Linked DNA regions of Rattus norvegicus. The protein of the gene in region 1 purifies or fractionates together with the protein of each later gene. This does not show direct contact. Links are inferred from orthologs where the notes say so. Each region holds a gene or a part of one and is shown in the gene's direction. Other genes may lie near its edges.

Region 1 (4,921 bases):
TTTAGAATTTACTCCCTCGTTAGATTGTAGCCATGTGAGCAAAGATTATCTTTATAACAGATTTGTTGACATATAATTATTAATATATCATAAAGCCCACTCCTTGAAAGAATATAATTCAGTGAAAGCTCGTCTTTGCCTTGGCATCTTCCAGGTTTCACATACGAATCACCTGAAGACCATGAAGAACTGTCTTTCATTGGTCCTACTCCCTCCCAAAGGTTTTGCCTTAACTGAGCAGGGGCATGGAGCAGGCATGAGGGTTTTTCTTTCTTTTTTTTTTTTTTTTTCGGAGCTGGGGACCGAACCCAGGGCCTTGTGGTTGCTAGGATATTTTTTTAAAGTCTCTGAATAAACTAACTTGCAGCTAAAGATGTCTGGTAATACTCTGCACACTGCAGGGAGGTATACAAGGATGGTTTGCTGTGATCACCCATTGTCTCTACTTCTGGTATCCAGTTAACTCTTACTGTCTTTGTCTCCCTTACAGACCTTGACTTCTATTACGGGTCAGTGTCTGCTTATGACTGTGTTCTCAACACTAGGCTTGGCCACACACCCATTTTAAGGCCAGCCTGGGCTAGGAGTCACAAAGATTGTATACACCACCAAGTTTCTGTACTCAACAGTCAGGAACTTAATGATTTTTTTTACTCAAAAACAACAACAACAAACCAACCAGTAACTCATGGATCAAACTCAAGACCACTCACTTTGAAGATCAGTTATAAAATTTCTCAGAAGACGAAAGTGTATTATTACTGGGTTGTTTGTTTGTTGTTTCATCGAGGACCTGGCTCACACTAAAAAAGGTGACAGCGTCGTCCGGTTTTCTGCTTCCACAGCTGTGAAGTCTTTGAGGGGACACATGCCATTCCTGGCCTGCCACATTATTAGATAGTTAAATATTGGCGGGATGAATGTAGTTAAACTTCATACCTAGTTGTGTGAGTATCACCTTAACTGGACAGGAAGCTGCACAACTTTCCCGTTTTGATTCTGTTTGCAGTTAATTAGAGTTCTCTAAACGGGGGCACTCCCTAATCTGCTCTGGCTACGACAAACATAAGGTAGGTTTTACTTGCACCTTCGAGAGGTTTTGTAAACATTCAAGCCCAGTAAGGACAGTTCTCTACGACAAATGAAAGCAAGACTCTTGAGACAAGGACACCCCTGTGAAGTCGGTCCTTTAGCTTGTCTCGTAATGCCTCTTAATACTTTAAAATCAGATTCAGAGGGTCCGCGTGGGCGTCTGGACCGCGCCCCCTGGTCAGCCGCAGCGTGATTCCTGCCCCGTAGGTTACGCCCCAGGGCGCAAGTGGAGCGACTCAAGCATTAAACAAGACAATGTAAAAGCAGTCTAGCCAAGAAGAGACAGTGTTATTTTGGCAGCCAGTTTCTCCCCCAGAGCCTCCACCCAATCCCTTGGGCCGGGCGCCCAGAGCTCAGAATTGTGGCCGGCTCCAGGAGCCCAGCTCCCTCCACGTGTCCTGTCTTCCCAGCAGCCTCTCCGCCGCCTGGGGAGGAAAATCTCCTGACAACTCGCGGTCTATGGACTACATCTCCCGGGAAGCACCGCGCCACTTCTCGCAGCCAACACCCGGGGCGCAGGCGCTCTGCGCTCTGTCAACAAGCGGGTCTGACGAAGACTGTGTGCGGTTCCTGATGGGATTTGTAGTTTCTCTGGCTCTCTCCCACTCGCCCATCAGACGCTCGAGGACTACAAGTCTCAGCTACCCCGGCGCGGTGAGCCCGGTCACGTGTTAGGGGGCCGATCGGGCGTGCGTGCCGCCGTTGATCCGGTGCTACAGTGAGGTGGTTGTCGCCCGTGTTGTGTGTGTGTGAGTGTGTGAGTGAGTGAGCGAGTGAGTGAGTGAGTGTGTGCGTGGGGGCACTCGGCTTGTTGTTGTCGGTGACTTCCCCCTTCCCTCCACCCCTCCCCTCCCCGGCCGCCGCTGCAGTGGCCGCTCCCTGGGCCGTAGGAAATGAGCGATAACGATGACATCGAGGTGGAGAGCGACGTGAGTCCCGGGGCTTCTTCCTTTCCGTTCGGGTTGTCAGGCGGGGACAGCGGCCAGGGCTCTCAGCCAGGCGACGGCGGGAGGGGGGCCGGGTCGCCGCCGCCTCCGTCCTCTTCCCCCGGGGCCGGGACCGCCTGCGTCGCGCTCCAGGCTCGCTCCCCTCCAGTCCTGTCCGGAGAGGCCTCCTGGGACTGAAGGTGGGAGCAGACACGCGGCCTCCGGGACCCACACATTCTCCCGTGGAGGAGGGTGTCGAGGCCTCCCTCTCCACTCTGCCGGGCTGGAGATCCCATTATCCGTCCGGATCCTGGGCAAGGAGACCAGCGCTCAGTTCTTGCTCATTGGGTCCATGATCTCCCTCCTCCGGTGACCGGTTGATCCTGGGGGTGAAGGGGCTGGGAGTGCTCTGACGCCCGAGAGGGATCGGGAAAGAGCAGACAGTGCTCCGGATCCCTCTTGTCCGGTTCGGATCCCAGAAGGAGGGGCAGCGCCTGGGACCCCCACTAGGCTACGGGTTCTCGCTGGAGAGAGTGGAAGGGAAAAGAGGGAGGGAGGGGTGTCAGGCTGACTACCCACCCGCTGCTTCCTCCGCCGCCGGCATTTTCTTTCTTATTATTGAATTCGAAGTGCGAAAATAACTTCTATATTTTCTATTTTTTTTTCTCTCTTATTCCAGGAAGAGCAACCGAGGTTTCAATCTGCGGTACGTCTCCTACTCTCCATTTCATTTTCATTTCCGTTCAGTTTTCGTTCTTTTTGGAGTCAGAGAGAAAAAGAGATCGTTCTATTACTTTTAATAGTCTTGTAAACTCCTCTTAACCGCTAAGGTGAGGTGGAGTCACTTGGGGTTGGAGGAGGGGGGCGTTGCAAATCCTCATGATTCTGGATTCTCAGGTGGTAGATTCTAGTGAGTAGGTAGGTAGCTAGGTGAGTGAGAGGAGGCCTGTGCTTCGAACTGAGTTCTGTAGTGTTCAGTGAAGGATGCAGCCGAGGCGTGTGAGAAACGAAAGAGCATTCCGAAGTGAATGGTAGTGTTATTTCAGAGCAGACTGGTCAGGTTTATTTAGGAGGTAAACTTTAAGCAGTGTCTCCATAGTTGTGTGAAGTCGCAGGCACGCATAAAGATCAATGTCTTTAGCCAAAGTCTGCTACAAAGACTGCTACAGCCCCTAGAATATAGAAAAACGCTTTATTCGCAACAACAACAATGGGAAAGAGAGGCACCAGAAGTTAAATACTGAGAGTGTCACCGCTTTTTGTGGTCTGACTTTCCGTTTGAGAAGAAAAAAAAAATTATTGCTAAGCGGCACTGTAAGAGATAGCTTCGCTGGAAGGTGATGGATGGGACTTCTTAGGATTGTGATAGTAATGGTTTTTATGGGTGTTTCTGGCTTTGAGTTGACCCTATGCTCCCTTGTGTTTGGAGTCTGAGGCTTAGGAGTAAATGGGTATAGATTAGGGAGAGAGAAAAGGAATAGACTCAGAATAAATCCAATCAGAGAAGAGAAACAAATGTAATATTTGATGATTGGAAGTGGTAAGAAAGGGGTGTAGAGTGCATTTTCCTGTGAGGGCCAGGTAATGAGCTCGTGAAGGATAGAGGGAAAGGTGAGGACTGGTGTATGCACTGAAGGATGCACACCCCTTCTGAAGTAGCCACCTAACTCTGCTGCTTGCTCCCCGAGAGTGAGCTCAGGCTGCCAGATCTTTTTTTTTACCTTCAGGGCTGAGCCATATCCCTGGAACTTCTAACTTTATGAGAAATGTTAATATGCTAGAAACACAGATTATTACTTTTTCTGGTGTGTTTATATGCATTTAATTTTTGACTGTGCTGGGAATTGAACCCAGGGCCTAAGGATGCCTTGCAACCCCTCTGCCATGGAGCTACAGCCTCAACCTACTTGATTTTTCTTTTTAATTACATTTATTTATTTAACGTGTGTGTGTGTGTGTGGGTGGGTGGGCGTGTGGGTGTGTGGTCATGCATATGTCATGGCTCTCATGTGAAGATCATAGAACAACTTGGGGGAGTCAGTTCTCTTTTCAGCACGTGGGTCTGGGGATTGAATTTAGGGTCATCAGGTTTGACTACAAAGCCTTTACCCGCTGAGCTGTCTCTTTAGCTTCAGTTATCTGATCTTTAAAATGATACGTGGAACAGCTGCTTAGGACTTGTAAAGAGTTTGCAGGATGTAACTAGGCTTGATTATTCAGGCCTGTAAACCCAGTTACTCAGAAGGTTGAGGTAGGAAGATCAAACATCCGAGCCTGCCTCTGCAATTCCTTAATACAAAAACCAACACAGCACAGAGTCCTGGGTTGTGACCCAGTGTGTAAGCCCAGGGCTTCTGAGGCTTTGGCAGAAGGGTTGCCCTGAATTTTAAGCCCACCTGGGATATAGAGTGAGTCCCAGCCTGGACTACAGCATGAGATTCTGCACAAGAATTCTCTGCTTCTGTCTCTTTTTCTGGGGAGCAGATGTGACAGCTCAAGTGTAGGACCCAGCTCCTCAGTGTTTCTGCTCTTCATTAGGGCATCAGATTGTGCAGACCCCCGAAACATCATTTGTTGGGAACTGATTGATTCTGAGTGCAGTTATCTCAGAGGTCTTAAGGATTGTTCTGAGATTCTCACTGAAGATGTTTTCTTAATGAAGCTTTACACAGTTGTCAATAGAACGTCAAATCCCTTTTGTGTCTTGTTTTTCAGCTGTTATCCTTTTTTTTCTTTTGGGAGAGGGAGGAGTCTAAGCTTTGTCCTGGAACTCACAGAGATCCATCAGCCTCAGGTTCCCGGATTAAATGGGATTTAATCAGCTGGGATTAAATGTGTGCACCACCCTGCCTGGGTACTATTCGTCTAATACTATGGACCTGGTTGTTTTCCTTTGAGCCTGT
Region 2 (4,760 bases), on another chromosome or scaffold:
AGACTTACAATTCGAGATACTGAAGTTGGAGGCTTAGAGTATTCTGTGCCAACGACAGCCATAACACTTGGCAGCTACTCTAATCCTAGCTTCCATCAACGGCAATAGGCAGTGTCTGCTGGTGCGGTGGCTTTGCATGGGTATTGGGTGCTGGGAACTTATGTGTGGAGAACTTCAGTTTTCAATCCTAGAGCACGACTGTTACCCGATAAGGCTGGCCCGCTCCGCTCCCTGGAATTCTTCCAGTGGCCGGGACCCACGTCTTCACGTCTCTGCCCCTTCATAGCCTTCTTCAGTCCTGGCACTTTACCTTCTCTAAGTGTCTTCCCATTTCTGTCTGTCGCCCCACCACCTGTGTGCTGCTGCTCTGGACCTGTTTGCTCCCCAGAACTCTTCAGACTCCCCCTTGCTGCTGTCACTGCTCTGCTGATGCTCTGTGGTTTATCTCTTCATATTACCAGTCTAGCTTGTAAACCGTCACCTGAGAGGAGTTCCTATTGGATGAAAGACTCTCCCAGCTTACTGAAAAAGTTAGCCAAATAGCTTGTTTATATAGTCAGAAATGGGGTGTGGCAAGGATGTTTGCACCAATCACAGCCTTTCTGCTCAGCCATTACAGATGCTTCCCCCTCCACCCCACCCCCACCCCCTCCCATCCTGGGTGAAGATGGTTACTAGAGCTTACTAAAGCTTGTGATGGTAAGAGGTCTGGTGCAAGCTATTGAGATACTCATGCCTTGGGTATTGCCTTCTGGAACGGTAGCTGTGCTTTAGCAATAAGCTGCTGTGGTTACAGTGTTGCTTCCTCAAAGCAGCTGAGGAAGAGTTCTAAACAGGACAGCAGCTTGAGGACTGTTCAGTCAAATGCTAACTCGTCTGACCAAGGAAGCTAGGTAATAGAGAAAGATCTGTTTGGGAGTCAAATTTGGCTTCTCCACCCCTCAGAATAAAATTTGGTCGCTCACATTAACAGTTGTCTGATAGTACTGAACAGCGCTCTGGTCTTTAGTCCCATATGCTTGGGAAAAGTTGGGTCATTTTATCTGAACCACTTGGACTGATTTGCAAGCCACAGTCTATTCTTCTCCCAGGCTCTCCAGCTTTAGTCTTACACATACATACACACACACACACACACACACACACACACACACACACACACACCTGTCTTTCAGGCTGCTCCCTCTGACTGCCCAAGTTCAGGCCCTGTGGCTGTGGAGGTCAATAGTTGAGCAGAGGTGGGGGATCTTGTCTCTGCATTGTCCAATATGCATCCTAACAGCCTTTACTTTGTTCTGTATAAATGTACAAGACTCCTCCCCCTGTGGTGCACATGCAGGTACTTTAAAGCACGCTCAGAACTGGTCATTTTTTTCCCTTGTGTGTACACACTCACCTATTCTTTTCAGTGTGCAGGCATTAAACATAGGTATCCATATTTGTATGCACAGAGGGTTCTCTTCTATATATACGTCCAGGCATGCACACACACGACTCATACTCCATGAATACACACGTGTCTGTATAGCGAGACTATGGATATACACAGGTGTGCACACATCATCCTTTCCCTATGTGTACATGCAGGTATGGCACACACCACAGACTTTTCACCGTTGGCGCGCGTGGCACACACACATACACACAGAGGCAGACACGTGGCCCTCTTCTCCCTGCGCATGCACACAGACATGCATACAGTTGGCCCTTGGTGTACACACACAGAGGCGCGCACACACGTGGCCTCTCTCCGAGCGCACATGGAGGCGCGCGCAGCGCTTTTCAGCGTCGGCGGCCGCCACACGCGCACGCGCGCACAGGTCCCTCCCCTATCCCAGGGCGGGTAGCACCGGCGAGAGGCGCGGGAGATGAGCGGCGGGAGGAGGAGGAGGAGGAGGGCGCCGAAGGCGCGAAAAGGCGCGCAGGCGCGCTGCGCGGAGCGGGCCCGCCGCCGCCCACGTCACCGCGCCGCGCGCACGTCACGCCGGCCCGACGCTCGGCCCAGGGTGAGCCCGCGTCCCGGCGCCGCTGGCTCAGGGCAGGGACCGCCAGGGCCGGACCTCCGGGCCGGCGCCCCCGCGCCCCCGTCGTCCGCCCCGCGCGCCCCGCCGGCCAGCCAGGTGTGGCGGGGGCACCGGCCGGTCGCGGCGGGAGGGCGCGGGCTGGGCGCGCGGCCCCGTTCCCGCCCCAGCCCGGTTCCCGCGTCCGGTCGCATCCCGCCCGCCGCCCAGCCTCAGCCCGGAGTCGGCCTCGACGCGGCGTGGCGTGGGCGGCAGGCAGGGGTCCTGGCCACCCTCCGGCTCTGTCCGCGCCAGCGCGCGAGGCTGGTGGCCGGGCCTAGTGACAGGTGGGGCGGCCGGGCGGCCGGGAGCCCACCTGTCAGAGTGGTCGGCGGCACCTCGGGGTCTTGGGCAGCCCCGGGGCCTGCTGCAGCCCGGGCAGAACCACGCAGTGTCGTGTGCCTAAGTGGGGGGCCTTGTGACTCGGTGGGGCCTGTGGTCAGGCGGGGCCCGCGTGCCCAGGTGGGGTGAGCCTGACGGCTGCGCCTCGCTCCGCCAAGGGGCCGGGGTCTGGCCCCTCTGCGGGTGGGAGCTGCTGGTGCCCGCAGGGAGCATTTCCATTTGGAGAGGTGACTTAAAATCCCTGTGTGGGACCTGCTTGGCTAGCTCTCCTGTTGGGATTGTGCAAGAAAGGCCCCTGCTGCCTGGAGGCCTGCCTCGTGCTGGTGGGGAGATGTTTCCTTTGAAATGCGATGTGCGTTAAACTTCTTTTTTTTTCATTCTCATTCATTACTCGTCCCCTTCCTTTTTACCAGATAAGTCCGGTTTCTTCTGTGGAGGGTACGCAGTTAAAGCCTTGATTTCCTGGATCTGGTAACATGGCAAAAGATGTAAGTATGAGTTCTGCATGCTGCAGACATGTTAGCATAGCTCGCTGCAGTTCTCTCCCTTTATTTGAGAGTGGCCATACCTGCGTGGCAGTGGTTTGCTCAGACATTTTACAGGCAGGAGCTGGGATGGAGGTGAGGGGTGGCCAGTCAGTAGGTGGGTGCCTCCCCTCCGCACAAATGTTCTTTGTCATCTGAAGCCTGGCACGTTTTTTTTTTTTTTTTTCTTTGTGGTTAAGATGATGATGTCTGGATTTTTCTTTAATCTATCTAAACCGCTTGAATACAAAATTTGTGTTTGAATGCATCTCCCAGTTGAAATGAACGTGTGAGGGGGGTATTTTGCTAGTGGGTTTCCACGAAGGAGAGCTGTCAGCATGCAACTTACGATGCATTATGCATGAAACTTAACTTGTTTTATGTAGTATGTAAGACCGTAATTCCACTTTGATGGGTTGAATCCCAACTACTTGTTTGGGCACATTTTTCTCTCAGAAAGATGACGTTTGGTGGTTAATGAAACACGGAAACGCTGGTTGGTTAAGCTTCGTATTTACTACAAAGCTACTGAGCATTTGAAATTTCTTTTTTGAAATGGGTACTGACAGTTAGGCTTTTAGGGGGCAAAAATACAGTCTGTGATTTTGGTCACATACATGTTCGCAGTATTACTTTATAACTCCCTCCAACACTGATCGTGCCTGTGCCAGTGTTTCAGCATTCACTGTCCTTTGACTATTAGATGAGTGTAATTTTCTGTGCAGCCCTGAAAATGCAGGCAGATAATACCACATCAGCTAGACTTGTACCCAAGTGCACTGAAACTGTGGCGCAGGTACCGAGTCTTGTCCTGACTTAGAGGCCCAAGGATTTAGTCATGCCTAGTGGCCCACCTGGATCAGACGGTGTCCGTCTTATGGTCATCAAGCACTGGACCTGCTCTTGGGAGTCGAGTTCCACCCTGAGAGACCGTGTGTAGGTCACCTGAAGTCACAGCTGTATGTGGCGTGGGGCTCGATTTCGTTATGTCTGTTGTTTGCCTGCCTCCACGTCCTGACTCTTCCCCCCGTGTGTGCCTAAGGAGAGACGTGCCGCTCAGTGCGTGCCCACAAAGTAGCTAGGTCTGGTAAACGGTGTGTAAGCAGGGCACTGGCTCCCGTGCCTTCGTTGAGACCCCATGGCCTGGTGTGGTTTCGGGGATCATTGCATCTTCTTCAGTGATCTTCAGTGAGTCAGCATGCTCCAAGTCCTGTCACCTCAGTTTTGCATCATGCACTCCTGTGTGCTGTGTCCCTGGGGAAGGGGTGGGTGGGTGGGTAGACACCATGATGGCAAGTGGTCAGGATGTCCTATCCAGTGGAGAGTGTGAGGCCAGCTGGTTTGGGGTTAGCCATTGTGGTATGGTGAGGCCAGTGCTGTGACTGGGTAAGAGCGCTGCTGCTTTGTCCCTCCACAAGTGCGCACAGACCTGGGCAGAGGCGAAGCGGCTCCCCCTGTTCTCTGGCTGGAAGTGGGGGTTGCAGGGTTGGGCCTTCCCTGTGCTTTTTCAGTAGGATGCAGTATTGGGGTTTGGAAAGGGACTTTGTAACCTGTGCTGAAGGGTAGGAAAGAGGCACCACTGGAGCTGTGTAAGCACTTGATGCTTAAGACGAACTCTGGCTGTAAAGTGCACTGTCGACATGGGGCTCGGAAGGCCATGACGCTGGCGAGAACAGAGGGGCAAAAGTCACGCTCTAGGTCTCAGAAAGGGCAGACAGAAGACAAATAGCTTAGGGGCTTTTCTGCCCCTGCTGGTGCCCAGGCAGAGCATCGAGTATGTTGGGCTCCCTGTGGACTGTGGGCTATGGAATGGGGCAGGCAGGAGCTGGCAGAC

Evidence for each region. The genes of interacting proteins can lie anywhere in the genome.
Region 2: the proteins of Max (region 1) and Tfdp1 purify together in Homo sapiens (affinity purification with mass spectrometry; 5 studies listed by BioGRID and IntAct, with this or other methods). This does not show direct contact. The link is inferred for Rattus norvegicus from reciprocal best matches to the Homo sapiens genes MAX and TFDP1.

The regions. Positions count from the first base shown.
Region 1 is NC_086024.1:101,392,160-101,397,080, reverse strand, and holds the start of Max (protein max), read left to right. Parts: upstream 1-1,790; 5' UTR 1,791-1,985; coding exon 1,986-2,021; intron 2,022-2,079; exon of another isoform or gene 2,080-2,218; intron 2,219-2,697; coding exon 2,698-2,724; intron 2,725-4,921. UniProt on the Homo sapiens protein: Transcription regulator. Forms a sequence-specific DNA-binding protein complex with MYC or MAD which recognizes the core sequence 5'-CAC[GA]TG-3'. The MYC:MAX complex is a transcriptional activator, whereas the MAD:MAX complex is a repressor.
Region 2 is NC_086034.1:82,900,227-82,904,986, reverse strand, and holds the start of Tfdp1 (transcription factor Dp-1), read left to right. Parts: upstream 1-1,820; 5' UTR 1,821-2,006; exon of another isoform or gene 2,007-2,629; intron 2,630-2,815; 5' UTR 2,816-2,878; coding exon 2,879-2,890; intron 2,891-4,760. UniProt on the Homo sapiens protein: Can stimulate E2F-dependent transcription.